Linked DNA regions of Oryctolagus cuniculus. The protein of the gene in region 2 interacts with the protein of the main gene of each other region in a biochemical or structural test. Links are inferred from orthologs where the notes say so. Each region holds a gene or a part of one and is shown on either strand. Other genes may lie near its edges.

Evidence for each region.
Region 1: the proteins of ERBIN (region 2) and ARHGEF7 interact in a test that uses a peptide from one of them, tested with the Homo sapiens proteins (2 studies listed by BioGRID and IntAct). The link is inferred for Oryctolagus cuniculus from reciprocal best matches to the Homo sapiens genes ERBIN and ARHGEF7.

The regions. Positions count from the first base shown.
Region 1 is NC_091440.1:2,002,887-2,017,449, forward strand, and holds the end of ARHGEF7 (rho guanine nucleotide exchange factor 7), read right to left. Parts: intron 13,691-14,563; coding exon 13,514-13,690; intron 7,566-13,513; coding exon 7,466-7,565; intron 6,892-7,465; coding exon 6,837-6,891; intron 5,500-6,836; coding exon 5,377-5,499; 3' UTR 3,724-5,376; downstream 1-3,723. UniProt on the Homo sapiens protein: Acts as a RAC1 guanine nucleotide exchange factor (GEF) and can induce membrane ruffling. Functions in cell migration, attachment and cell spreading. Promotes targeting of RAC1 to focal adhesions. May function as a positive regulator of apoptosis.
Region 2 is NC_091445.1:86,859,697-86,874,922, reverse strand, and holds the start of ERBIN (erbin), read right to left. Parts: upstream 8,511-15,226; 5' UTR 8,249-8,510; intron 8,218-8,248; exon of another isoform or gene 8,044-8,217; coding exon of another isoform or gene 8,041-8,043; intron 7,680-8,040; 5' UTR 7,574-7,679; coding exon 7,568-7,573; intron 1-7,567. UniProt on the Homo sapiens protein: Acts as an adapter for the receptor ERBB2, in epithelia. By binding the unphosphorylated 'Tyr-1248' of receptor ERBB2, it may contribute to stabilize this unphosphorylated state.

The DNA.
Region 1 (14,563 bases), on a different chromosome or scaffold from region 2:
GGTTCAGGACCCCTCGGATGCCAGCATTGCTTTGTGTAAGCTGGCGCGAGCTGGCCTGGAGCCCAGGGCCAGCGCCCCTCTCTAGCTCACCTGTGGATGGCTCGGAGTCCCCAGCCCTGTCCACTGTGGCTGGATGTGCACATGAGGAACAGCCCTGGCCCCAGGCCACAAACAGAAGCAACACCTCAGACGGGGCAGCAGTGGCATCCTGGGAGACAGCGTCCCCAGGGTCAGGGCTGACCGGAGCCAGGCACGAGGCAGCCCCAGGCCTGCGCGCTGCACGCCGCCCTCCCAGGGTCCCGAGGGGCCCTCTGGCCACCTGGAGCCGACTTGGAGCACACAGACGGTGCCCGTGGTCCCAGGCCGGCATCCCGCCGCATCGGGGCCGCCCCTCTGCAAACGCAGCCCTCACTCGGAACGTGCTGTGCCTGCCATCTCTGGTCTTGTGTGGCAGCCCCAGGGTCACCCAGGTGGTCGGCGAGCCTGGGTCAGCCCACGACCACCTCCCCACCCTGAGCTGGAGTGGAGCCCCCACCACAGGCCTGGGCGTGTGTCCCGTGGAGCCACGCTGCCCTCCACCCTGCCTTCCCCGTGTCCCTCCCCCCTGCAGTGACCCCTTGCCATGCACCCAGACTCTGAATCCTGCATTACTCTTCCTGTCTTCTCCCCAAAACCACAGCCGCTTCCCACTGCACTGACCACGGACACTCCACGGCACAGCTCCGTGACGGCAGCTCCACGGGGCTCTTCGTCCACGCTCTTCCAGGGGTGGACGGGAGATTCTCACACACACACACACCCTGGAGGCCCCCGCCTTCTTCCACGTCTGTTTGCGACGGAGCCATGTCCCACCAGGACTCCCCTTAGAGGACCTGTGAGATTCCAGTCTTTCTGGTCCCTGGCTCCACCCCAGAGGGCACCAGACCCTGGCCCCCACCCCGACACGGGGCAGTGCCCTCTGCCCAGTGCCTTTGAGAAAGTGCACGAGACGGCGAGAACTCAGCGCTTCCGGGCCAAGGGGGTCCGTGTGCACCCCACACACCAGCTGCCTCAGGGGGCCGCGCTCGTCTCACAAGCAGAGCTTGTCCTGCCCACCCACGCGTCGGCCCATCTGTCACTACGTTTGGGGGTCTTCAAGAAGCTCACGGCCAGCATGGATTACGGAAAAGCTGTGCGTGGATTTATACCAGAATAGACTTCTAACTCCATCTCCCCTGGATATCTCTGTACGCAGTTTTTCCTGCTTCTACCTTCACATTTGCAGAGTCACCAGCGTGTTTTCCATCTGGCTGTTAGGGGAGAGGGGCGGGAGAGGCTCCTCCTGCAAGGATGCAGACGTGAGCAGGGGCGTGGGCCGCCCGTGCCTCGTTCTGGACCATTGAGGCGCCACGGACAGCCGGTGCCACCCCGGTGAAGACCCCGCTCCCACTTCTCCCCTGCAGCCCACAGGGGAGGCCAGCGGCAGGCCGGGGGAGGGGGCGTGTGTTTGGGTTTACGAGGACCAGAGCTGCCGAGTGGCCGTGCAGTTGTGTGCGCGGATTGTTCTGGAAGCACTGTGCACCTGAATCACGGCCTCGTCCGCACAGAGGGCTGCTGGACCTCGGGGCCACTGCTTGTTTTCTTGGCACAAAACCACATCCTCTGGGTCTCTCACTCCATCACCCCTCCTGCCTGAGATGTACACGGTGCAGACCCCCGGGTCACACCCATCCAGTGGTCTCCACAGCCAGGAGCTGAGGCAACCATGAGCCAGCAGCTGGGGGCAAGGCGGCCCACACAGCCCTGTGTGTTTGCACAAGCACTGGCTGGGCAGGGCAGGGCTGGGCAGGGCAGAGCTGCACACTGAGGGCAGGGCAGGGCAGGGCTGGGCAGGGCGCGGCTGCACACCCAGGGCTGGCATCTGTCGCTGCAAACCGGTAATTCTCAGAGGACAGAGCCGGAGGCAAGGAGGGCACAGGTCACAGCCCGCCCCTCCCGATGGCCCACCCCAGGCGTCCACGGCGCCAGCCCGAGCGAGCGGCAGAGCAGGACGCCTCGGGCCGCGCCTACAGGGCAGTGCAGAGTTCCTGGGACGCGGAGCTGAAACTTGGTTTTGGTGCAGGTGATGTTGCAATCCATGCGTAAGAGAGGTCTTCGGAAAACTTCATCAAAAACACGTTCTTGTGAAAACCCTAAAGGATTTCAACTTTTTTGCAACAAAAGCAGCATTTTCAGTTCCATTTCCTTTCAGAGTCTCTGAACGACCCCGGGATGTCCCCGTCTCCGAGCACCTGGACTGTCCAGGACGTGGCTCCTAAAGCAGACGTTTCTGGAAGTAACCATGCAGCTACGGTCTCACGGTTACACAGGCCTTTCACTTTTTTTATTTGTTTCCATTTTATCTGAAAGGCAGAGAGAGTTCCCACCTGCCGGCTCATTCCCCCGAGGCCCACAGCGGCCAGGGCCGGGCCAGGCTGAAGCTGGGAGCCTGGAGCCCCACCCTGGTCTCCCGCGTGGGGGCGGGGCCTAGGCCCCTGGGCCACCCTCCACGGCTTCCCAGCCGCACTCACAGGACACTGGCTCAGGAGCAGCCGGGACCTGCACCACTCGCCCAATATGGGGCCCGGATGTCCCGAGCGGTGACGAAACCCCGAGCCACAGGCCGGCACACCTGGGGTTGCGTGTTCAGGGTGGTCAGAGTGCGTTTCTGCAACAGCGGCCGTCCCTCTCAGAGCCACCGAGCCAGTCCCACAGGGAGTGAGAGTGGAAGGGCCCAACACGGCCACGCCTGCGGTGCAGACAACTCGTGCACACGCACCCACACACACGTGTACACACGTGCAAGCACACGCACACGCCAGGCCACGGCACTCGCTCGCTCGGCACCGGCGGCCCCTGCAGGGTGAGGACAAGGCTCGGGGGTGACAGCAGTTTCTCCATCCTCGTGGGACGTCCCGGTCTTCTCCACGAGCAGGAAGATCAAGGCCCAGCCGCTGGACACCTCACCAGCACACAGCCCAGACGACCGCTCGCGTGCCTGACACCATGGAACCTCCGAGTTTCCACGCTGGCCTCCTGTGGGCTGGCGATGAGACGGTCCCCAGGGCACCTCGGCCAGGCCCGGGGAACACAGAGACCTCGCAGGGTCCCGGGTCCCCGTGGCCATCCTTCCCCGCGCCTCCATCACCAGCACACCCAGGCCGACGCCAGGACGGGGCTGGCCCGGGCTCTCGGCCCACCTGGGCCTCGCTGCTGCACCTGGGGGAACGTGGCTGCCGGCCCCTGGACGCCGGGAAAGACGCAAGCGGCAGTGTCGTCTGAAGACCGGCCGGCGACACACGCCCCTCCAGGCCGGCAGAGGCATCCCCACAGCACTTCCCGAGCCCCCCGCCGACGCCCATGTTCCAAGATGACGGCCCCGGCAGCGAGGGCCCTGCAGGACAGGGTTTTCTGGGCCACCCCGGGCGCAGGGCGGCACTGCAGCCGCTCACCGTTCAGGAAGGACCTCGCCCTGGCCGAATGACCGGCACCCGAGCAACGGTCCTCCGTCTCCCAGCCACCCCCGCGAAGGCCCAGCCGCCTGGACGTCCACCGTCTCCCAGTCTCCCGTCCACACTCTCAGGCGGCAGCGGTATCTCTCTGGCATCAAAACCCACACCGGAGCTTCCAGATCTCAAAAAGCCAACGGCAACAGCGAGGGCGGCACACACGCGTCAGACTCGCCAAAGACAACCGAGAGGACCGTTTTGTGACATAAGAAAAATAACGAGTTTAATGATTCCAACAACGCAGCGCGAACACTGTAGCAGTCGACACCAGGACATGGTCTGTGACAGCAAGGAGGGGCTGCTCCATGCCGTCCAAGGTCCCCGAGGTGGAGAGAATGATTGGCATGGACAGAGTCCAGGACAAGCCCAGGCAGGTGCCCGGGGCCCGGGAAGTCCCGGATGCTACATCTCTACGCCGGTTCCAAGAGGAAGTGCTTCCCACGTGCAGGGAGAGACGCCCGCCCGGCCTCACTTGCCGCAGGGACAGCTGTGGGCCACACACCCCTGCCCGTCCACGCCAGCTCCTCCCCTTCCGGAGGTCACTGGGCGACAGGCACAGGGCCGCGCACCAGAGGGCAGCCCTCCCTGCAGACCCGTCTCTGATCCAGGAGGCGCTGGGCCCACGGCCGCCACGGTGAGCGCGGCTCAGCTCAGGGGAGGCTTTACACGGACCGGCCCTCCTCCCCGGTTAAGGCAGGCTCTGGAGGGGCCCACCCCGGCCACAGACCACAGCTGACGGCTGGCAGAGGCACGGGGGGCGGGGCAGTTGTTCCTGAGTTAACGCCTGCTGGGCACAGCGGCTCTGCCGGCACACAGCCCCCGCCTCTGCCGCACGTCCTGGGCAACACCAGAAAGCCGCTTGGGAGAGCAGCTCACCAAAAGACAAGACAGACAGGTAGAAAACGCCAACACAGAGCGCTGGCGACTCGGGTTAGGGGCCGCGCAGCCGCAGGGCTGGGGCAGGAGAAGGTGCCCTCGTCAGCAGGGGTGCGGGGACAGAACCAACCCCCAGGCTGCCGGGTCAAAGGCAGGGCTCAGCAGGCGCAGTCACGCGGTCTCGTCCGCTGTCACACAGGTCTCTAGAGACACGACAACTGCTCTGCGGGAGGTTCCGTCATCTCCGACACAGGAGGGAAAGGCCGGCCAGGCCCTGGGTCACCACTGCTTATTGCCAAGGGAGAGGGGACAGCCGGCCGGGAGCGCCCACAGCCTCCCAGGCCCAAGGCCCGCAGAGCTGGGCGAGGCCGGCTCCCTGCCCTGCCCGCCCCGGTGGGGCCTCTGGGCTGCAGTCACTGAGCCGCACTGGGCTGTGTATTGCTTTGCTTCTGCCGAGGGGACGGCTCGCACGGGCGGGGCTGTGCCCAGTCAGCCTGGAGGGAGAGCCCGCCCTTGGGAGCAGCTCCCAGCGTCGCGGCCAGGCCGGCTGCCTCCCTCTGCTGGGGCCACAATAAATAACACATTCTATTTACAAGTGCTGGAACTCTCGGGGGAGGATGGAACCGTGCAGCGTGGAGTGGTCAGACCGGCCACAGAAGAGCCCGGGAGCCCACGGGGCGTGGGGGCCGGGTCTCTGGGCGGCCGCTCCGCGGGCTTGCAGCGCCTGCGCACAGGGTCTGAGGTCAGGCTGTGGGCGCACGGCAGGGGTGCAGGCCGCCAGGAAGGCGTGTGGGGAGGGAGTCGCAGCACGCAGGTCCGCGGTCGGGGGCAGGAGGTGCAGGGCACGCGTGTCCGTCACATCCCAACAGTCTGGGAAGCCGGGCTCTGCACTGGTTCTGCACTTACGGCAGGAGGCGGTGCCGGGGGCCCTGGGCGCCTGCGCCTCCCGAGTGCGGCCCGCTGCGGCCGGCCCTCAGAGGTTGGTCTCGTCCCAGGCCGGGTCGTTCAGTGTCTTCAGCACCTTGCGCACCAGCTTCTCCAGGTCCCGGCGGGCCCGCTGCTCCTCCTCCAGGGACTTCTTCATCTTCTTGTTGTCCTGGGGGCCGGGCACACCACAGCGCTCAGCCTCAGCCACCAGCCGCACGCTCGGGGCCGGGGCCTCGGCGGGTGAAACCCGGCCGGGGCTGCCCTTCCCCGCACGCACTCTCGGGGACCGGGGCCTCGGCAGTTGAAACCCAGCCGGGGCTGCCCGAGGCCTAGTCCACGCAGCACGACGATGTGGTGGACAGCTCTGGCCCCGGCACCCCCCGAGGACAAGGCCCTCAGTCACCAACGCGAGGGGCAGGGGCGGCCACGAGCCCGCCTGTGCGGCTAAGCTGGGCCCCACGCGGCACTGAAACGCGCCTGGAGCACACAGAGCTGGGCCGGATGCTGGGGCTGAGACCTGCCGGGTCACACCGGGCGGGGAGCGGCCGGGAATGCCATGGACGTCCCTGGGAACGGCTGACCACAGGGACCCTGTACCCCGGCCCCGGCGTCGCTGCCGCCTTCACCTCCCCTACCCCTCCCTCTCCAGGTTCTGCAGGGAACCCAGGCCGTGTGCACACATCAAATGCACACACGTACACACAGAGACCACACATGCACACACATGTGCACACAGCGCATGCATGCACACACATGTGAACACACCAGAGACCACACAACCACATGTACACACATGCACACACGTTCAGACCACACACGTGTGAACACACCAGAGACCACACACAACCACATGTACACACATGCACACATTCAGACCACACGCGTGTGAACACAGGCCACACATGCACACATGCAGACCACACGTGTACATGCCACATTCACACACATGTACACACATGTACACACATGTGCACGCTGCACACACCACACAGAGACCACACACGTGCAGGCACCATACATGTGAAAACACCACACGTGAACACACACCACAGACCACACATGCACACACCCCACACATGCACATCACACACCCCACTCATGTACACACCACACACGCGCACACATGTGTACACATGCACACACCACACATATACACATCAATACCACCCCTGGCCAGTGTGACACATGCTGCTGACTGGCCCATGTGCCCGCACAGACGAATCAGGGACCTCATGGAGTTTTCGGGGGCAGGATCTGAGTTCTAAATTATCCCAACAGATGGCTTCCGACAGCACAGACCTCGGCTCAAAAGTGTCCCCACGGGCCACGCCCCAGCTCCCACCGGGCCCAGCCACACGCCCAGAGCCACCGCTGCACTGGTCGGATGCGACAGACACCATCTCCTCGTGGTCCTTTTTTTAATCTGCAGAGGGCTTTTCCTTTTTTTCCCATTGAACACACACACACACACACATGTGTGCGCACACGAAACCAACAGTGACATACCTGTCTCAGTTCTTGGACTTCATCCTTCAACGCGTACACAGTGTCCACTAGGCTCCTGTGACAGAAGAAGAATGAGGACATCAGCCTGGCTGGGGGGGCAGAGGCCTGGGGAGACCCCTCCAGCACCCGGCCCGCACTGGCCCTCTGCCCCCCAGCCCCCTGCCAGCACTGGCCCTCGGCCCCCCAGCCCCCTGCCAGCACTGGCCCTCCGCCCCCCAGCCCCTGACCGCACTGGCCCTCTGCCCCCCAGCCCCCTGCCAGCACTGGCCCTCGGCGCCCCAGCCCCTGCCCGCACTGGCCCTCCGCCCCCCAGCCCCTGCCCACACTGGCCCTTTGCCCCCCAGCCCCTGCCCACACTGGCCCTTTGCCCCCCAGCCCCCTGCCGGCACTGGCCCTCCGCCCCCCAGCCCCTGCCCGCACTGGCCCTCCGCCCCCCAGCCCCAGCCCGCACTGGCCCTCGGCCCCCCAGCCCCCTGCCAGCACTGGCCCTCCGCCCCCCAGCCCCAGCCCGCACTGGCCCTCGGCCCCCCAGCCCCCTGCCGGCACTGGCCCACCGCCCCCCAGCCCCAGCCCGCACTGGCCCTCCGCCCCCGAGCCGCACGGGCAGTGGGAACGCGGAGACGTCTTACTTCTCTTCCATCACCGTCTGGCCGTTACTTTTAGTTTCTTCCACTATAATTTTCTCTTCTTCTGGAAGCAAAACTTGTGGAGCAGATTCTTTGCGTGAACCTAGGGTAGGGAAAATAAAAAACAGAACGGCTCAGGTGAACGCCACGCGGCAGCTGGGCGACACAACTTGACTATACAGCATGACTCAGACGCTACCTCCAGCAGCTGCGCCCCCAGACCCCCGAGACAGGCGGCTCTCCGCACGCCCTTCCCGCACCCACACACGCCGCCCTTCCGGGAGTCACATGCATAAACCTGCGTCCCTGAACCTCACTAGGGGCCTTCCACAGGCTCTGACCACAAGTGTCTGCATAGGTCACAAATTCCGAGACATCACCTTCTCCCAGGAATCTCGGGACGACGCACGAGACCCGACAACACCCCCTCCCCCCCATGCCTGCCACTCAGCACCCGGCAGTGGCACACTGCACACTACAGACAACATCACAGCGGTGTCTAAAAAGGCGACACTCGGCAGCCGGTTTTTTAACACAAACTTTATTATTCCCGGACACATACACATTCTTCTACATGAAAGACGCTGTTCACAACACCGGAGGATCCCAGCGCCGGCACCCGAGCACGCAGCCTGCCCGGGCCGACCTCGGGCAGGCTCCGGTGCGGATCTGTGCCGCTGAGACGCACTGGGAGACTCTGACACTCATTTGCAAAGTGGAGGGAAGAAAACCAAGTCTTAGTAAGAGGCAAGGAAGCAGCGGTTTTTTATTTCAGCTGTGAGACCACACACACCGTCCGCAGTTCTGAAACACAAGGCCAGACACAGGCTGGAGGGAAGACGGCGTCTCCTGCGGGAGGCGGCCCGGGGCTGTGATCCACGCTGCTCCAGGAAAAAGCACTCACAGGCGGAGACTCGCTCTGCTCCTCCAGGCTGCCTCATGCTCCCGGCGTCGGACGCCGAGGGCGCTGTGCAGACACGGCTTCACGGCCACGAGCATCCCCCGCGGCTGCGGTCAGCCTGCTCTCCTCGGAACGCAAGCAGCGTCAGACTCCCACAGTGGCACCAAGGGACAGGGACTGGCCCTGGCAGGTCTCCCGGCCCCACCCTCCCGACACAAGTACTTCGTTCAGGCAGCAGAGGCTGCCGGCCCCTCCTTGGTCACCCAGGGGTCCCAAGGTCCAGGCTTCGGTTGGCCCTCCTGCTCACGCTGGCATGACCACGGTGCACGACTGGCTTCTGCCGGCCAGCGGCTCTGGCAGCCCGGCAAGGCCACACCCCAGCCCCAGCCCGACCCCAGCACGGGGCTGACTTCAGGGAACGGGGCTCAAGAACCCCCTCTGGCTGGCAGCTCAGTCTCCCCAGGGTCTCAGACAGGGTCTGCAAGACCGGGGGGAGGGTGATGCCCCTTCTGGGAGCCGGGTATCCTCCAGGTACCCCGGGCCCCCTGAAGCCGCACGAGATGAGCCTGCATCTTCCCAGGCCCCGTGCCGTGGGGACGTGTGGGCCCCCGGGGCGATGCTTGTGTGAGGAAGAATCAACACGTGGGCCCCCGGCCCACAGAGACACGAAGGGCTTCGTGAAGACCCAGCCGTCCGCAGCACATGCGCCGAGAGCAGCGCTTCCCTGACTGCCCGTGAGGGAAACGCGCCGCAGCCGCTGCCCGCCGTCCAGGCTGGGTCCAGACGGCTGAGGCTGTGCGCGTTAGTTCCGAATCCACCCCACAAACCTGCACCGCGTCTTCACGCAGGGGAGACAGGACGCAGGCGGGACAGGGTCTCGGGAGATGCACTCTGGGTGCACCCAAGTCCACACGTTTCCATCGTCTTTGGCTCTTCTAGCTTCCTGGCACTACAGCTTTGCCACGACAAGTGAGACAGACCACAGACGTCCCCGGGGCAGCGAGGGGCGCCCTGCACGCCTCGGGCGAGCCCGCCTCTGACCACCCAGCCCCCACCTCACAGCGGGTGAACCGTGGAGCTCCCCCGAGGATCAATCTAAATAATGCTGTCAATACGCGATTAACTCCAGTGACAAAGGCTGGAGGTTCCCCGCGCTGATTGACAGGGACTAAAGCCGTGAATGTGCACGTGTAGCACGGCTGACTCGGGAACCAGCCTGTGTAGAGACGGGCGCCTGAGTGTTGTTCTGTTACTCTGATGACAACAGAGCGGCCCTAAGACGGACGACTGTGGGCGTCCTACTGCGGGCAGAGGCCCCGAGTCGCACGGGCGCGGGAACGCCAGCTGCAGGCTTGCCGGTGAGCCAGCAGGTGCTCACGCACCGACGGCTCCAGCACGGCCGAGGCCTGTGCTTCCCAAACCCTGGTTTCCAGGGGCCAAGAGGACTCACGGCCTCACTCCGGGAGCGTGGTGTCCTCTGGCCACGACTTGAGAGCCACGAGGCGCTTCAGCACGGTCCAGGCTTTGGTGAGCTTCGCCCAGAGATACGCACGGAACTCTAACTCGGCCTTCTCTATCCTGCCTTCTCTTTCCCGGCATCACCGAGGACGCCTCGTGGTTCTCGGGCCGTGGTCTGAGACGTGCCGGAAATGCGCCACACCGCTGGCTGGCCGTGGCTGGCACGGTTCCCCGACAGAGGGAGCGGGAGCAATGACACACAGTGACGGGCACTCACACCCGAGCCCGCACTTCAGCCACAGGACTCCAGGAGGGGCCTGCAGGCTGGGACCCGCTCACCGTGCTCATCCAGAGACGCCGGCCAGCATGGGCTCGGCGCTCGCTCCCTCACAGACGTGACCCAGCGCTTGGGGACACGCCGGAGGCACCGCAAGAACCTGGGCCTTGGTTTGGGAAGCACAGCTCGAACCAAACACCTGCGTTTCAGACGCCGTGTCCCGTCCAGGCAGCGACAGAGCAGGCCTCGCGCCGGAGCTCGGGGGCCCGCGTCTTACCTTCACAACTAAGCCCCGCAGACAGATCGGTCTGGGCACGCGTGTGGCGTGCGGGCACACGTGCGTGAGTCTGCCCGTGCTGAAGCCTAAAGAGCGTCATTTTGTCAGAAAGGGAGCATCCGCCCCTCGGCCCAGCAGTCAAGTGCACGTGTGGCAAAGCCGGCAAGCCGTCTTGCATTCGGCACCTCCCTGCTCCGAGCTCGCACGACTGAAAGGGAGGTCACTCTCAGAATCCCTGCGGACGTCCCTGGGCCACGCCACGCTGCTGCTCGCGCGGAGGACCCTCACTCACTGTCGGAGGAGCGGGGACCCCGAGTCGGCACCCCCAGAGCGCTCAGCGGCTGCGGCCGGCGCCTGCCCCGGCTGCTCTCCCTCTCATCTGGCTTCCTCTTCCACCTCTCGGCCAGCTGGACGTGCACTTTCCAGAAACAAAACCGCGCTGGAAGAGCCGCTTTTTCACTTACGCACAAAAGACAATGACGCATCTTTCTGAAGAAAACCTCCCGGTGACTGAGGATTCGCTTTAAAAAGCAAAGAAAAAAAGGAGGAGGGGATGGCTGAGGGTGGCCGGCGCGGCGCGGCGCGGCACAGCGCGGCACAGCCGGGGCCGCCTCGAAGCCGACCCCACGGCACTGCAGCTGCGCTGCTCCCTCCCGCCACGAACAAACACGGAAAGCCACAGGCTAGCAAATGCAAAATTTATTCCAGCTGTACATGACAGATGTCTTTTTAAAATATAAAACAAACACTTCATTGTCATAGCAACCACAGACGATAATGTGCACACTGTACAATGCAATGCTACATTCAATATACAGCCAGTCGGGTTTCAAAGAGTCAGGTACTAGAGATGGCTTTTCCCAGTCACAGACAGAGAGCACAGTATATACAGACTTCTGTTCCAGATCTGATGCCACTATGTACACATCGCTGTGTATTGCAATTTTACGCAAAACACGCAGCGCAGAGAGCCTGGGGTCCTCCTGCAGCCAGTGTTCGCTCGGCGGCAACGGCGGCAACGCCCCACGGCCGGCGCGACCCCGGCTGCCCACGGAGCAACCACAGGACTGCATGAACAGAGGACACTCGTCAGCAGGACCGAAGCTCCACGGAGCAGAAACACGGCCCTCGGGCCGCCCGGCTCCACGGCCGCCCGGGGACGTCTTTCTGGACCTGGAGCACAAGAACTTGTCACCAGGTCACAAAAGCTCATGGTGCCAGACACTCAAAACAAATACAAATGAAGAGAAGTTCACGCTAGTATTCTGTGGTGATCTTACCCTCAACAGAAACCGTCGTCGGGATGGTTCTGACTGGTACAAAAAGGAATGATGGGAAACTGTCTGAACTTTGGTGTGTAGGAGTTCACTAAAATGTCTCTGTCAGACAACCAAACGATACTTAGCACTAAGAAAACCCAAGTGCAGCGACTGCACCTCAGTGCTGTGCTGCAGCCAGCACGGGGCGTCGGGGGGCCAGGCTCACTAAGGCAAGGCAAAGGCGTCTAAGCCAGTGCACGAGTTATTACAGTTCCTAAGCACACAAAGTTACTCCACGGTCAGGATCAGAAAAGATGGCTGTCCTATGTGACATAAAAACACAGCCGCTTCTAAATCCATAGTGCGGTCTGGAGTGAATATATAAACTTCTAAGTTGCATTTCTCCAAAAATTCCATTTGCTGTTTGGCTGCACCACAGATAAACCCCATCTATGCTGCAGACCAACACTGGGCCGAGTCTGCACGCACCTGCCTCAACTTCCTGCTTCTGCCACTTGGTGTAAAAATACGCAATCTCCAGCGGGGAGAGCAGGTCAGCGGCTACGCGGGGACAAACACCTGGGCGTGACCACCGTCCCGGCGACTCTGCCCTGGCCTCGTCCCACGCAGAATGAGCTGCCCGCGTGGTACACAGTGAGCCACTGCCCAAGTCCACTAGCACCCTGGGGCCTGGGAGCAGCGGGGCCAGCTTCCAGGAGACAGCACTGGTCAAGACCGCAACACTGAGCACGTGGGCCTGGTGCAGGAGGGGCGGCGTCCCGGCACCTGCACTCGCAGCTGCCCTGAGGAAAGGAAGAGACGTTACTCCCCGTCAGTGTGGCGCCTCGTTTCCCGCAGCTGCTTCTCCCGCGTCCTTCAGACACAGCCACAGGCTGCACTTTAACACCGACAGAGCACGTGGGGGACCCGCGCTCTGCCCCTCGAGCCAGGGCCGGGGGTGGACTCGAGGCCACATTCAGCTGCGTCTGAGGCGGAGTCAGCCTGCGTGAGGGCAGCGAACGGGGCTTTCCGGAGGGAGCCTCCTCGGAGCGCACGGCTCCCACGGGGGCGTGTCAGGGCGCAGCCCCGCCAGGACGGAGGCCAAGGCACTCGACGGCGGTCGTCACCGAGGCCTCTCTGTGTGCAGGCGCCCAGCGCTGCAGCCTGGGGCTCGGGCGGGGCTGCAGGCAGTAGTGTGGCGTGAGGACGAGCCTGGATGGCTGAGCCGTGACCACACCCTCTCCTCTGCCCCGCGCACGGCAGAGCAGAGCAGTGGGGTCGAGACAGGCTCGGAGCGCGTGGGAGCTGGCACTGCCCAGAGCCCACACACATGCCACATGGCCACAGGAGCACAGCCAGGGACACGGCCACCATGCCTCCCACCCCCCACCCCCTCCACCACTTGCTGGGTCAGTGTGTTCATTTAGGTCCCTGTGTACGAGGCCAGCGTCCCCTCTGTGGTGGCACTCAGATGCCAGCCCTGTGTGTTTCAGTATAAAATATAAAAGTGTTCATACAGCTGTATCCAAAAAGAAAGAGGCAGCTGCTACACTGAGGATTAAAAAAGCAAACCTTGAGGCGCTACAGAACAACTCCCCACTAAGGAAAGCACCCTCAGGTAGAGGCGTGAATGTTCGGGTGAACACCCCGTCCCCCTCCAGTGGCCAGGAACGTGAACGCACACTCGGATTGGCAAGTACGCCTCCACAGGTACATGGGAAATACCAGGAGCACTCTAAGAGTTGTTAAAATGTCACATAAAGGAGACGAGGGACAGCAAGAAAACACCTAGAGAAGCAGGCTGCGGTACCACAAGCTGGTTAAGAACGGCTGAGAGTGCGTTAGTTCTGGTGAGAGATATATGAGCAACAGCTCTTACGAGATGCAGAACCCATTCTGTAACTATGGGCTGTCCATATACTGTCATACTCAGAGTCTTCCGAGAGGTCTGAGGGCTCCAGCCGAGAGAGGCTACTGCGCCGCCCCAGGGGCTCTAGGCTTGCTTGGTCATCATCAGCCAAGACGTGGTTATGCATCAGGTCAGTGCCTTGCCACGCTAAGACGGGAGGGCGACAGATGCGACAGGCAGAGGGGAGGGCGGACAGGAGAGCCACAACCAGACACGGACGGAAGCAAAAGGTGACGGGAAGAGAAGGAAGAGAGAAAACATCGTTAAAAAACGGCAGCAACGGTCATTTCTGCTTACATACGGCTGGGTCTTCCTGACAAGCTCAAGTTTAGTGTAACCCTTAGCACTGACTACATCAGCTACTGCTACTGCTGAAAAATAAATCTAAACACAACAGCTTCCGAACTGCTCCTTTTTAAAAATGCTGTCGTAAAGCTCTCAGTTAAGAAATCTTTTACAAATTATACCCACGCCAAAAGCTGATTCTCTAAGCACTCAGCAATTAACCAGTTCTATCCCATATTGTATTCACATTAACAGTCATTTTGAACATTATTTGTAAAAGGTACCAGTTACGGCTATTGAAAACCCGTTTCCCACGCACTAAGTCTATGTGACAACTGCAAAACGACCCCAAAGGACTTCCGCTGACTTCTGAGCATCACTGCCAAGACCAGGGGTCAGCAGCGGGGTCACACTCACCTGTGGGTCCACAGGCCCCGCAGAGGGTCCCCGGCCCTCCCTCCCCCACGCACTGCCCGTTCCCGGGGCTGTGGTGAACCCGCGCACGGCCTCAAGACAGGCCACAGGGGAAGTGGGCACCAGAGCGCACGAGAAAAATGACCCCACGGACAGCTGCTGACCATGAGCAGAGATGCTGGTCAGGCAGGGCTGCGAGCGGCTCCCTCGGAGGGAAGCCCGAGGACCGGCGTGACAGCAGCCAGGGCTGCCCATCAGTCAGACCCAGCTCTCCATCGTCTGCCACGGCCTCGCTCCTCGAGACAGAAGTCAGCACCAAGG
Region 2 (15,226 bases):
AATGCCACTTTCACTTGATTATCTTCAATAAGAGTAAAAAGTAATTCTCTTGTTTTTTTCTGCTACTGCATAATGACTTTTGTTTTGCTTTTTGTTTTTGTTTTTTTTGACAGGCAGAGTGGACAGTGAGAGAGAGAGACAGAGAGAAAGGTCTTCCTTTGCCGTTGGTTCACCCTCCAATGGCCGCCGCGGCTGGCGCGCTGTGGCCGGCACACCGCGCTGATCCGAAACCAGGAGCCAGGTACTTATCCTGGTCTCCCATGCGGTGCAGGGCCCAAGCACTTGGGCCATTCTCCACTGCACTCCCTGGCCACAGCAGAGAGCTGGCCTGGAAGAGGGGCAACCGGGACAGAATCCGGCGCCCCGACCAGGACTAGAACCCGGTGTGCCGGCGCCGCCAGCTGGAAGATTAGCCTATTGAGCCGCGGCGCCAGCCAATGACATGTTAACATTTGAAAAATATGTTTAACACAATGAATCAGTATTTTCCAACTATCCAATGCATGTTACAAATCATGAATTAGCAGATTTATCAAAAGTGCAAGTCAAACCAATCAATGAATTTTAAAGTAACAAGAAAGGAAAAGTTCATTGTTAGAACTGCAGATATGCCACTCAAACTAACCTTTAAAAGACTACTACTTTAGGTTCACATTTGGCACAGCAGTTAAGGTGCCATTTGGGACACCCACATCCCACATCAGAGCACCTAGTTGTGTCCTGGTTCCTATACTTCCGATCCACCTTCCTGCTAAAGTACACTCAAGGATGAAGCAGGTGATGGCTCAAGTACTTGGGTCCCTGCCACCCATGTAGGAGACCCAGCCTGACCCAGCCCTCCCTGTTATGGGCATTTAGAGTGAACCAGCAGATGGAAGATCTGTCTCTCTGCCTTTCAAATAAAACAGAAAATAAATACTGTAAAAACAAACAAACAAACAAAAACTACTACTCATCAAATTTTGTATCAAAGAGTATCCACAATAAACTAAAGACTATGAAAATAGGGGCCGGCGCTGTGGTGCTGCAGATTAAAGCCCCGGCCTGCTGTGCCGGCATTCCATATGGGCACTGGTTCGAGTCCTGCCTGTTCTACTTTCAATCCAGCTCTCTGTTATGGCCTGGGAAAGCAGTAGATTGCCCAAGTCCTTAGGCCCCTGCACCCACATGGGAGACCCGGAAGAAGCTCCTGGCTCCAGGCTTTGGATCAGCGCAGCTCCAGGCGTTGCAGCCAACTGGGGAGTGACCCAGCAGATGGAACCCCTTTCTTTCTCTGCCTCTCCTCTCTCTCTCTAACTCTTTCAAATAAATAAATGGGCCGGCGCCACAGCTAAATAGGCTAATCCTCCGGCACACGGGGTTCTAGTCCCGGTCGGGGCACTGGATTCTGTCCCGGTTGCCCCTCTTCCAGGCCAGCTCCCTGCTGTGGCCCAGGAGTGCAGTAGAGGATGGCCCAAGTGCTTGGGCCCTGCACCTGCATGGGAGACCAGGAGAGGCACCTGGCTCCTGGCTTCGGATCGGATCGGCGCAGTGCACTGGCCACAGTGCACCAGCTTCAGCAGCCACTAGGGGGTGAACCAACGGCAAAGGAAGACCTTTCTCTCTGTCTCTCTCTCTCACTGTCCACTCTGCCTGTCAAATAAATAAATAAATAAATAGATTTTTAAAAAGACAATGAAAATATTCCTCCCTTTCCACACAATGTGGCAGGGGGGAATGTACCTGTACTGAAAATGGGCAATATTTTCTTTTTTGTCACTACCCTCTAAACAAATGCAAGATAACAACTACGAGTATTGACATACTATTATAAGTAATGCAGATAAGTTTCAAAGTATACAGGAGGAATGGTATAGGTTATATACAAATACTGTGCCATTGTATGTATTGTTTAATTTTTATTTGAGACAGAGATATTAAGTTTCTCCCTGCTAGTTCACTCCCCAATTGCCTGAACAGCCGGAGCTGACCAGGGAAGGAGATCTGAGCTCAATTAAGGCCTCCATTGTGGGGGGCAAGGACAAAACTACTTGAGTCATCACCTGTTGCTTCCCAGGGTCTGCACTGCCAAGACGCTGGACTCAGGACCCAGAGTAAAGAGGTAACTCCAAGCACTCCAATATGGGATGCAGGTATCTATCTTAACCTCTTGGCCAAAAGCTCAGCCCACCTTGTCATTTTATATAAGGGATTTGAACATCCAAAGATTTTGCTATTCCCAAATAGAAAGGGTGTTCTGGAATCAACCATGCACAGATATCAGGAACAACCATATTTAATTTAGCAAAATAGTTCTTATTAAAACAATGTTAACATGCAGTGGCTTGTAATATTTAATTTTTAAATTTGTTTTCATTTCTAATAAAAAGAAATCTGATAGATAACTCACATACACCAAAACTCTTAGGAGTCCTCAATAACTTATAAAAGTATCAAGGGATTCTAAGACCAAAATGTGTAAGAACAATGGCCTTAGGGCTCCTACACCGTAACGGAATGAATCCTCCAACAAGCAAATGAAATATGTAAGGCACTCTGCTCAAAGTTGTCCCAGACTATTCTACTGATGTTCTGACCTATCATTTATTTTTTTTTTACTCTGATTGTGCGAAAGCCATACATTTCACTTCAAAATTTGAATTCTGGGGCCATGGTTTTGCCATAGCATGTAAAGCCACAGCCTGGGACACCAGCATCCTATATGGGCGCTGGTTTTTGTCCTGGCTGCTCCTCTTCCAATACAGCTCCCTTTAGTGGCCTGGGAAAGCAGAGGAAGGTGGCCCAAGTGTTTGGGTCCCTGCGTCCACGTGGGAGATTCACATGAAGCTCCTAGCTCCAGGCTTCTGCCTGGTCCAGCCATGACTGCTGCGGACATCTGGGGAATGAACCAGTGGATAGAAGCTCTGTCTCTTCCTCTCTATATATAACTCTTTCAAATAAATAAAATCTTTAAAACAAAATTTGAATTCTGATCTTTTCCCTGGTTAGCAACATGCAGCACAATAATCTCTGACGACACTGGGCAGCAGTAAACCACAGCAGCTGGCTACACAATCATGAGGAGAAACAACCAACATTCTACAAAATACTGTGTCACCAGAGTTTTCTGCATACAGGTATTCAATGAACTACACAGGATGACCAACACTTCATTCTAAAATAGGCTTGTATTAGGTGATTCTGCACAACTATAGGCTAATGTAAGAATTCTGAGCACATTTAAGGTAGACTAGGCTAACTCATGAAGCTTGGCAGGTTAGGTGTATCAAATGCCTTTTTGACTTAACAGTACTTTCAAATTACAATGGGTTTACTGGGATGTAACCCTGCCACAAGTTAAGAGCATCTGTATTTTCTGAATTATTCCATTTGCCTTCCATTTTTCTATAACTTTACTATCATGTCTTATTTTCACAATCTTATAATGCAGTTAATTTACTTTTCTCATCACTTCCAAGACACCAAAAAGGTAAGAAACACCTCACTACAAAAGTAAATGGACTTCGAATAATATATTTATGAATAATGCTCAAGACTTTATTATGCTTGTTTTGATCACTTAAGATGTCCTTTTTAAGGTATTTCTAGTTCTTCTACATTCTTTTAAGAATTACTTATTTTATTTATTTGAAAGGTGGAGTTACAGAGGCAGAAAAAGAGAGGTCTTCCATCCACTGGTTCACTCCCTAAATGGCCACAATAGAGCTTCTTTCAGGTCTTCCACATGGGTGCAGGGGCCCAAGCACTTGGGCCATCTTCCACTGCTTTCCCAGGCCATAGAAGAGAGCTGGATCAGATATGAAGCAGCCGGGCAGCCAGGACCAGTGCCCATATGGGGTGCTGGCACTTCAGGTGGTGGCTTTATCTGCTACACCACAGTGTGGCCCCTCTACTACACTCTATATATATCTAAAGTCATAGATGTATAAATAATATCCAGATAAGTAGCTTATTTTATTAAGTTTCAGATATTTTTTAATGTCATATACTTTCAATTATAAAGACTGGTAAGGAAGGTCTTTACCCATGGTGTCAGGAACAAAATTTGAAGTGACAATAAAGAATGTGACAGAGTTCCAGTGCACTTATTTCATGAAAGCAGAAGACAACTGTAAATTTTAGACACAGACAAAAAAGACATCCAACTTGAGAGGTAGGAAAAGAGACAGGAGCAAAAAGGAAAATGGAAAGTGCAGAGCAGTGTTTGTATGTTTAAAGAGATCAAAAGCATAAGGTAGAAGGGGGTTATAGAGGGTCTTAACATGTAAGAATATATGACCTGATATGACCGAAACAGTTAATTCTGGGGACATTAAGGATGAACAAGATAATTGAAAAATGAAATTCAAATAAAAAAGTATACATTAATATCAAGCTTAATTACAGTTATGTACACTGAGCTGGAATGCAAAAAGAATATTCAGAATTCAATGGGTTAAGTCATCATCTATGATGTCAGCAACCCATGCAGCTGCTCCACTTCCAACCCAGCTCCTTACTATATGCCTGGGAAAGCAGGAGAGGGTGGCCCCAGGGCCCCTGCGTACACGTGGAAGACTTGGATGAAACTCCAGGCTTCAGCCTGGTCCAGCCCTGGCCACCACAGTCATTTGGAGAGTGAACCAGGGGACAGATCCCTCACTCTCTCTTTCCTTCTCCCTCTCTTTTCAAATAAATATATTAAAAAAGAAAAAAAGAATTAAATGGGGCTGATTAAGTACACTTATACTGCATGTTATGAACAGTTTATTTAAGGGAAAAACATAGTCTGATAAAGTTTGGAAAAGAGAGGAAAAAAAATACAAATAAGAAACAAGAGACCAATATGGAAAAATAGAGGAAGTAAACAAACCTAACTACAAAAATAGGAAGCCAGGGGCCAGTGCTGTGGTGTAGTGAGTAAAAATGCCACCTGCAATGCCAGCACCCATGAGTGCTGATTCAAGTCCCAGCTGCTCCACTTTTTAACATTAACTTATTTTACTTGAAAGTCAAGAGTTACACAACGAGAGGAGAGGCACAGAGGCAGAGAGGGAGGGAGGGAGGGAAGATCTTCCATCCACTGGTTCACTCACCAATTGACCGCAACAGCCAGGAGTCAGGAGCTTCTTCCGGGTCTCCCACGCAGGTGCAGGAGCCCAAAGATCTTCCACTGCATTCCCAGGCCACAGTAGAGAGCTGGATTCAAAGTGGAGTAGCCAGGACTCGAACCAGCGCCCATCTGGGATACCGGCAATGCCGGCGGCGGCTTTACCTGCTGTGCCACAGTCCCAGCCCCTGCTCCACTTTCAATCCAGCTCTCTGCTATGGCCTGGGAAAACAGTAGGAAATGGCCTAAGTGCTTGGGCCCTTGTACCATGTGGGCGACTGGAAAGAAACTCCTGGCTCCTGGCTTCTGATCAGCCCAACTCTGGTTATTGCAGCCATTTAGGGAGTGAAAGAGCAGATGGGAGATCTCGCTTTCTCTGCCTGTGCCTCTCTGTAACTCTGTTTTACAAACAAAATAGAGGGGGCCGGCGCTGTGACATAGCAAGCCACCTCTGCAGTACTGGCTGTGATCCCATATGGGCGCCAGTTCGAGTCCCAGCTGCTCCACTTCTGATCCAGCTCTCTGCTTTGGCCTGGGAAATCAGAAGATGGCCCAAGACATTGGGCCCCTGCACCTATGTGGGAGACTCAGAAGAAGCTCCCTGTCAGTATGCCTGGGAAAGCATTAGAGGATGTCCCAAGTCCTTGGACTACACCAGAGTGGGAGACCTGGAAGAAGATCCTGGCTCCTGGCTTCAGATCAGTCCAGCTCTAGCCACTGCAGCCATTTGGGGAGTGAACCAGTGGATGGAAGACTTCTCTGCCTCTCTGTAATTTTACCTTTCAAATAAATAAAATCTTTGAAAAATGAAAAAAGAAGCTATCATTTATTACCAATACTTCAACATCATCAAGGTCAAAAGTAACTGAATTTTAGTGATTTACCAATGATACGTCTCTATAGTCATCACTTAATTAACAGCACACAATGAAAATCTGGCTCCCATATTTGAACCTCTGTAAGCTTTTTATACATAAATTTTTGTTACAGTTTAACCTCAAGCGGCAAAGTGATTCTGTAACTTAGTACTTTGAATTGGTGGAAGTTCTGAAAACTCATGATTACCTTCAACAAACATATCTTTTAAATTGTATTCTGTGCAAATAAGTAAACACATAATTTATCCTAAGAAAGTCTATACAACACTAAGAATACCCAGATCCTGAAGTCACTTAAAATATTTTAACTGACTGCTTTTCTAAACATCTCTTCAAACCTCACATTTTAAACAAAATTTTGGAATATACAGTTCAACAGTGCAAAACCTAAAATTTAGTCTGTTAATGCTAAGTAACAGAATTTTAAGTAAACCACAAAGAAAGTTATGCATCATTAAGAGGTAAAAAGGAACCAAAGATAATTACAAAAGTTAACACCTCATTTTTAAAAATGTGTTGCCTGCCTGCAAACATACCATTCTTCTCCAGGAGGAGGGGGGAAACCAAGAACTTTATCAAAAATCAGGTGTTTAGTCATTATCAGGTGCTACAATAATTTTTACATAAAATTTATGAACACAAATACCTTTGTAAAGTGGTAATTCTGGGTCAAACTTGCTCTATTATGGCTTTGTTGCTCTGAGGCCAAGTATGAACCATATAAGGAAACTGAAGTTCAATGTCATTTATTTTGTTCCATTCTTTCAGATGCCCAACAACAACCTCCTTTGCTGCCTAATACATGGTCTGAATTCATAAAGTAGATCAGCTGTGCACTTTAAATTCCTTGATAAGGCTAATTTGGCTTAAAAGGAATTATATGATGGTTCACAATTAAAAAAAAAAAACAGAAATCACACTCTCAGAAAAAAAAAAAAAACAAAGCAATACAGTTAAAAGTCTCCCATTTTGAAAAGTACTTTTAAAAGACGAAGTAGCAAATATCAAGTTGTGAAATAATTTGATCCTGATTTTAAAATTTACCTTTTCTCTCTGAACGGAAGTCAGCTCTTTCTCCTGGGGTTTACAGTAATTACTTTGCTAGTATTTGATAAACTAGGCATCGATTTATATTAAAATGATTCCACAGATGATCATATTTTCTTAGCATTTACTCACAAATACAATATTTTTTCACTACCTTTACCACAAAAGTACTGGGGAAAAAAATAAACTTAAGACACTAAAACGCCGCTGAAAGCAGGGAGTGGGTTTGCCATGACCCAAACGCGTTGACTCTAGGAAGTCTACCCATTGGCTCAGGGGTGTTCAGAGCTCTGCCTGCTGCTAGTAGGTCTGTCACGCTTCACGGAGTCCTGCCCCACACTAAGTTCCTCTCCCTTATTAGGCCGAACCGAACGAAACATTTGGGCCAACACAAAAATCTAAATATCCTAGTATTCAAAGGCACAGCTTTTTTTATATCCCAATCAGTGTGGTTCCCAAGAAAATCTTTGAAGCGTTTTACTTCCCTCCCTACATAGTCAGTGCTGACCTGCACGGCAGTCCGAGCAAATCAAGCTGCGTTTTAATTACACACCTTCATCTGTAATCCTCACTCCCTCCTTCTCCATCCTAATGGTTCAGTCACAAGAAAAGTCTAGCAGACGCTTGCTTTCAATTAATGAAGGAAATATTTTAGGAGTCAACACCTGAAAAGGACAAGTTAACACACGTGAAAAAAAAAAAAAACATTACCTGCCCTGAAAACTAAAGCTGGCAAAAAGTTGCTTGTCCCTAAAATCCAATAAACTAGACGCAACAAGGCTCTGAACCAAAAACAGTCTCTGCGCGATGAACTCCAAAGCCAAAACCATCGCTATCAGCACAAACAAACGCGGCAGCCATCTCAACAGCCGCAAATCGACGGAACTTTCCTCCCAACCAAGTCGCCAGACAGGAGCTTCGCACACCTCGCAGAGGCTCCAGAAAACGAAAACTTCTGGAGCTCGCGCTCAACAAAGGCACTCTTTCTCCAGGCGGCCCAAACTTCCCGTCCCACTGCATTCTTACCATCGCTTCTACACAAACCACAGCCCAGATGGCAGACCGGGGCTTAAAAAACAAAACAAAACAAAACACACACAGCTCTCCCACTTCACCACCTAGAACACTGTGCGCTCCGATCCGAGCAAAGAACTGACGGAAACTTGGGCAAAAGGATCGCCCCTTTTCCGGTCCGTGCACTGTGTGTCTTCCAGACGCTTCTCGCGAAAATTACCTTTCGGCCGGACGGCGTCTCAGGGCTGCTTTTTCCAGGCTTCGCTGCCCATGATTCCCTCGCCCGCGTTAGTCACTTCGCATCCAGCCGAGTCTCTCCGGTGAGAACGGATGTGCAGCGGCCGCCCGCAGCAGCAGAGTAGGCTGCCCGGGTGGGGGTTGGGATGCGGGCTGGCTTCCTGGTCTCGAGTTTGCAGGAGTTTCCCAGCCCCAACTAGGATCTCCGCCGAGAGGAGGAGGAAAAAAAAAAAAAAAAAAAAAAACTTTTTCACTCGTGACACCGCCCGGAATTGCCGTGCGAAACTCACTTCCTGCCTCGGCGCAAGGCAGGAGCCAGCTCCGTCCAGGGGAACCCGGAACCCCAGCGCGCGCGCCGCGGAGGGGGAGGGGAGGCGCCGTCGGCCGGGCCCCGCGCGCCCCGCGCCCCCGACGGCGGCGGCGGCGGCCGAGACGCCGCCCGGGCGCTCGGCGGGCCGCGGCCGCGCTAGGCCGGCCCTGCTCCTCGCCGCCGCCCCCAGAGCCGAGCGGCCGGTTATTGTCTCGCTAGCGCCTGCCGCGCCCTTCGCCCGCGCCGCCGCCGCCGCCCGGAGCCGAGGGGCCGGGCAGGCTCGATGGCGGCGCCCTCGTCGGGCCGGCCGTCCTTCTGTCCGTTCCTCGCAGCGTTCCCTGCTCGCCCGCCTCTCGCTTTCCCGCCGCCGCGCCGCCACTCCCCTGCTGCTGCTTCTTCCCCGGCGGCGGCGGCGGCGGCCGCACGGGGCGCGGGGCTGGGGTGGGCGGCAGCCCGGTCCTCCTCACGAGTTCGCGGGGCCGCGGCGGGGGCCGAGGCTGCGTCCCGCGCCGCCGCGCCACCTTCGCTCGGGCGAGAGACGGCGAGGGGAGGGGCCCGGCGGGAGGGAGCGGAGAGCGACGAGGAGGAGGAGGAGGAGGAGGAGGAGTGGGGCTGGGGCGCAGGGGAGTGACCGCCGCGCAGGCCGCGGCGGAGGCTACGGCGCCACCGCCCCGCCGGCGAGGGGGGAGAGGCTGCGCGCGGCCGCGCGGCGGAGGGGGCGGGGCGGCCTCCCGCGGGCTGCGCCCCAACCGCCCACAGCCGGGCCGGAGGCCGGCGCGAGCCAGTCAGCGCGCGCGCGCGCGCGGGGGCCGCGCGGCCGACGTCGGCGGCGGGGGGCGGCGGGGCCTGGGGGGAGGGGCCCCGCCGTCCGCGGGTTCGCGTGCCGGGCGCGGCGTGAGGCCCGCTCGGGCGCCGGTCCCCGGGGGCCTGCCTGCGGGCTCCGTGACCCCCCGCGCACGCCGGCTCCCCAGCCCGTGGCGAACGCAGACGACGCCGCCGACCTCGGCCCGGGAACGCAGAGCCCTCAGGCCGCCGCCGCCGCGCTGGCCGGTTGAGTTTCTTTGTACACAGCGGCCGGTGCGCCGGGGGCTGTTCGAGTCCAGCCCCGATTTGCAGGCAGCAGGTATCCGCTGCGGCCGCTGCACTCCAACTTCTTGTAATGGCACGCTCGGGTTGCAAGCCGCCGCCGCAGCGGCCCAGCCGAGCTTCCCACGCCAGCCCTCGCTCGCTCGCTGGCCCCGCCGCGCAGCTGGGGCTCCTCCAGGGTTCGGCCTCGCACCGGCGCGGAGACAAAGCTGGCGCTGGCCGGGGGAAAATGGCCCGCGAAATTGCCTCGAGCTCGCGCCTTTGTTAGAAGAAACGCCGGCTGCCCTCTGAAGGCGACGCAGGCTCCCCAGCCCAGTGGTTTCGGTGGCGCAGCGGTTGGCTTGCGCTGGCCCTCGTAATTCATCCTGGCGGCTTTTGCGTTTAGAGAGAGACTCTTTAGCGTCCTGTCAACACATACGGCATAGAGAGCGTGAGCCATAATATTGCACAGTTGTTGCAGTTGCCGCATTAAATATGTTGACAGACGGCCTTGTTTTACCCGGAGGAGGAGCGGAATGGGTACGGGGAGACCTTCCCTCCACCCCCGCCTCTGCTCTGCTTCACTGTGTACAGCGATGGTGCTTTGGGCCCCAGGTCCCCGGAGGCACTGGTTCAGGTCTTCCGTCTGTATTCCAGAGATAATTGCTTATTATCAAGTTTGAGTAAAGAGCTATATGCCCTACAGACAATTCTTGGCCTGCATCCAAAGGGAAGAATTCATAAAGTGCACAAAGAATTACTTACCTAAATGAGTTGTGCACAAGTGACAAACACTGGAGATAACTCCGGTCAGCTTTTAAGGGATGGGAACATTGTCACTGCTCCCAGAACTGCTGGCATTGACACAGGTATTAGTCCCTTGGTGTAGAGCCTAAGTTGAAAATTAGCACCAAAATGTACAGGTACATTTAGTGCTGAAACAGAGAGGCTAGAGCATAAACTGGAAGCTAAGGAATGGCAAGCAGGCAGGTATGCTAGTAACACCAAGCTCGGTATCTATTTTATATGAATATTAATCGTAACCATTGCATAAGAAGCTAAAGTTAGCATATTATACAAGCTATTTTTAATTGTCGCACTTTGGAAAACTAATGAGTCTGATCAGAACTTAGTGGCATAGCTCTGAACTAAAAATGTCACCCGCCTAAAGCATACCAGGATGGAGTGACTCCCATACCCGTGAGCAACCAGCAGGACTTTGGCATTCCAGGGTCCCCCCCCCCCCCACACACAAATGTGATACCACGGATACAAATAAACTTAACACCCTTCCCCAGAACCTAAATAAAGAAGACCAGTCCACATCTAGGATAAGGATTGCCCTGATTCTAGCCTTTTTGACTTAAACTAACACTCAGAATCAACTTGGCTAATTACCATTGGGATTAGAAAGTCTCTATAACCAAAAACCCCTTCTCCAGTTCACCTGAAATTCTGCCATTAGAGTTTTATCCCTTTGAGTAGTTTGTTTCTCCAAAGCCATAATCCCAGGAAAAGTAATGGTTTAAGCCCTATTTATCCCTAATTCATCAGATGGTCTCCCTAAAGCAGCTTTTGATGGTAAGGAAAAGTAGAGAGAACATATGCTGATGCTGAGTAGATAGATAAGAGGAGAAAATGTGATTTCATTCCTTGGAGCACTATTTGGAAAGTAGAGGCGAATAGTTAATGAAATAACCTTCGTTTGATTGTTACGTCCAACTTGCTCTTACCCAAACTCCAGCATTAAGAGGATGGAAGCCAGGAAACACTTATCAGGAGCTGTCTGTTCTGTGAGCTGGTTTGCTGGCAGTCCCTTCTGAATTCTGCATTGGTGTTCATACAGAAGAGTGAAATGATGTTATATGATCAAGGCATCCAATACTCAGAAATAATGACTCATTTGTGTTACTCATCATTGACTACTTAGTTATAATTCATATGAACAGCACACACAGATACAGCTAAATCTTCCATTGGTTCTTCTTTACAAAGTGTTCCTGTTCCATACTTGTACTGAATAGTTTCCGTTGAAAACCCTCCCATAGGACCTTGAACTAAGATGGACTCAACTTTTTGGTTATGATCAAAACAAGAGCTGAATCCCCTACCCCCACCCTGCACCCTCAACAAGGCTGCCTATGAGTCTGTAATGATTGAGTGATATCTGGGACCAACTTAGAGAGCGAGCTAATAGATGTTTTGCTGATAGGGCATCTTCATCTTCCCCACTGTGGGACTCTAAATAATTCTCTGGGAAAGGGAATCTTTTCTTTGGGATTCTCCTTCCCAGTGGCTGGGCTCAGGAAAGTCATTACTGTCTGATGCAGGTAAGCTGCTTCCTGTGGAGGAAAGCCTCAAGGGACCCACTAAGGGGAATGAGCCCCAAGAAAGGGCCAATCTACTGTTTTGCGGGCATTTGGCCTAGTGCTTAAGATACCTGTTTAGACCACCTGCATCCCCTATCACACTGGGTTTGAGTTCTGTTTCCAGCTCCTGAGTCCTGCTAATGCACACCCTGAGGCAGCAGGTGACAGGTGATGGGTCAAGCTGAGTCTCTGCCACCCATGTGGAATCTTGGTTGGAATTTCTGTCCCGCCTTCCAGCTAGTCTCAGCTGTTTCAGACATGTAAGGAGTTAGCCAGCAGATGGAAGCGTCCCTCTCTCTCCCTCTCTGCCCCTCAAATCACGAAAAACAACGCTTGAAAAGGGTCCCCCGGCATTGACACATGCCAGCCAAACAAAAGATAGCAGAAGGCAAGGAAAGGTGTGGGACAATTCTTTTCTCCTTTTCTCAACCCCTAAAGCCAAAGGTTTTATCAAAGCGGTGTTTGTGGAAAATAGATCTTCAACTTAGAATAGTGTTAGATTCAAAAGAAGTCTGGAAGCATTGGATCAAATAGGTCAAGATGCATTGTACCATGTATTTTTAATAGGAATGTGATGTCCTGTGTCACTTTCAGCTTAGCCACTGCCAGAGCTGCCAGGAGGGTAGGAGGGTAGGCTAGAGAGCGGAGACTCTTGGGCGTGAAAAGAAGCACCCGTGCAGGAATCAGTGTTACGCTCCCGTGGTTCTACCTTTCAAGCATGTTTTCAGTGTTATTTTATGAATCACAGGGAAAGTCTGCCTCTATTTGTGCAAAACTTTCTGAAAAGTTTTAAAATCTTTTTCCTCTAGTACAGTAGTTCTCCCCCCTTATCTGCAGGGGACACATTCAAAGAACTCCAGTGAATTCCTGAAACCACAGATAGTGACAAAGAACTATATATATATATATATATATACACACACACACATATCTATATATATGTTTTCCTGCACATACATACGATGATGAAGTTTAGTTAAAATATAGGCACAGTAAGAGATTATGATAAAGCTAACAATAAAATAAAAAAAATAACAATTATGTGAAATGTGGTCTCTCTCAAAATATCTTATGTTGTCCTTAGCCTTCAACTTGAGGTTATATGAGATGATACAATGCCTACATGAAAAAATGGAGTTGAACAATATAAGCATTGCGATATAGCTTTGGTGTACTAAGTAAGGGTTACTGGAACACAAGCACTGTGATACTTCAATGGTGGATCTGATAACCAGTTTAGCTATTCAGTGATTAATGGTTGGGTAGCATATACGGTGCAGACACACTGGACAAAGAGATGATTCATGTCCTGGGCAGGACAGAGTAGGTTGATTTCAGCACACTACTCAGAATGGTATAAACTTGAAAATTAATGAAGTGTATTTCTGGAATTTTCCATTTAATATTTTCAGACCATGATTTTCTGAGGGTAACTGAAACTATAAAAGCAAAACTGCATATAAGCAGTGGTAGGGGGAAGGACTGGTGTGTAAGCTTGATAATCTTTTTTTCTATCCTGTACATTTTTGTTAACTGTTAAGGTTAAATTTATTTCAGATGTCCTATACATGTTTTCTTTTTTTTTTTTTTGTCCTATACATTTTTGAAAAATAAATAATGTTATTTGTGTGACTTCTGAAACAAAACTGCTTGAATTAGAAATTTCGCTGCTGACTTTTTTGGACAAGTTCGTGAACACGTATGAACATGAACTTGAGCTTCTTTTGCTCTAGAATGGGAGACATAAGCATTTATTTATTTATAAACTACCCTGTAGACTACTGAGAGAACAACAGGGGGCAATGCTCATAAAGTGCTTGTGCACAGTGCTTGGCACACTCAAAACTGTCAGCTATTATTCGTAGTGCAATTTAAATGCACTGATAATACATGCCATGCATGATAACATGTACCATCTTTTTAAAAATTTTTAAGATTTATTTATTTATTTGAAAGGCAGAGTTACAGAGGGGCGGGGGGGGGGGGGTCTTCCATCCACTGGTTCATTCCCCAGATGGCTGCAACGGCCAGAGCTTTGCAGATCAGAAGCCAGGAGCAGGGAGCCCCTTCCAGGTCTCCCACATGGGTGCAGGGACCCAAGCACTTGAGCCATCCTCTACTGCTTTCCCATGCCTTAGCAGAGAGCTGGATTGGAAGTGGAGCAGCCAGGACTCCAACTGGTGTCCACACGGGATGCCGGCACTGCAGGCAGCGGCTTTACCTTGCTACGTCCCAGCGCAGGCCCCCATGTGCCATCCTTCCTAAAACAACTAATGTCCATCATCCAAACTAAGATACCTTGTGAGTGAAATCTATACAAGCAACAAATGTAAATGAGGACTGTCCTAGCCCAACTGGACAAATAGTCACCTTAATAATATTCAACTCTGTTGCCTTCTTCCAAGTCATTCCTTTCTCCAGTACTCCCTAGTGAGAATCAAAATTTATTTCTATCATATTACAATATGCATATTCCACATCATAGCAAATGGTAACCTTCTTTGGGTAACAAAATTGCATTTTTCCTACTCATTTAATCCCACACTTAAGATACTTTATTTGAGGAAGCAAGCATTTGGCACAGCAGTTAAGGCGAAGTTTGGGACACGTGCATCCCATATTAGAGTACCTGGGTTTGGGTCCTGGCTCCAGTTCCTGAGTTCATCTTACTTAATACGTACCTGGGAGACTGCAGGTGATGGTTCAAGTACTTGGGTGCCTTCTAGCCATGTGAAAGACCCAGATTAAGTTCCTGGCTCCTAGCTTCAGTTGATACAGCCTGGATGTTGTGGGCATTTGGGGCCTGAACCAGTACATTAAAGCTCACTCTCTCTTTCTCTATCTGACTTTCAAATAAATTTAAATAAATTAATTAAATTTTCCCATAGCATTTTATTTTTAAAAACTAGTTAGCATAAATAATATGAAAGTGTTAATATTGATATATGGGTATTAAACATAATTTGAGGTGTAGTAAGGGTAATGCCTTACTCTAAAATGCAAGCCAGCTATATTACAAGAGAACTTTCTTTTTTAGTTAGGCATCATATTATTCCTATTTCAAAGTAAAAGTAACTATCTATTTGATCAAAGACTACCAAATAATCACCAGAATGCCGGATAAATCTCATCTAAATCTTGTTTAATCAGTTTTTAAAATTTTTTTTAATTTATTTGAAATGCAGAATTAGAGAAAAAAAGGGAGACACAGAGAAAG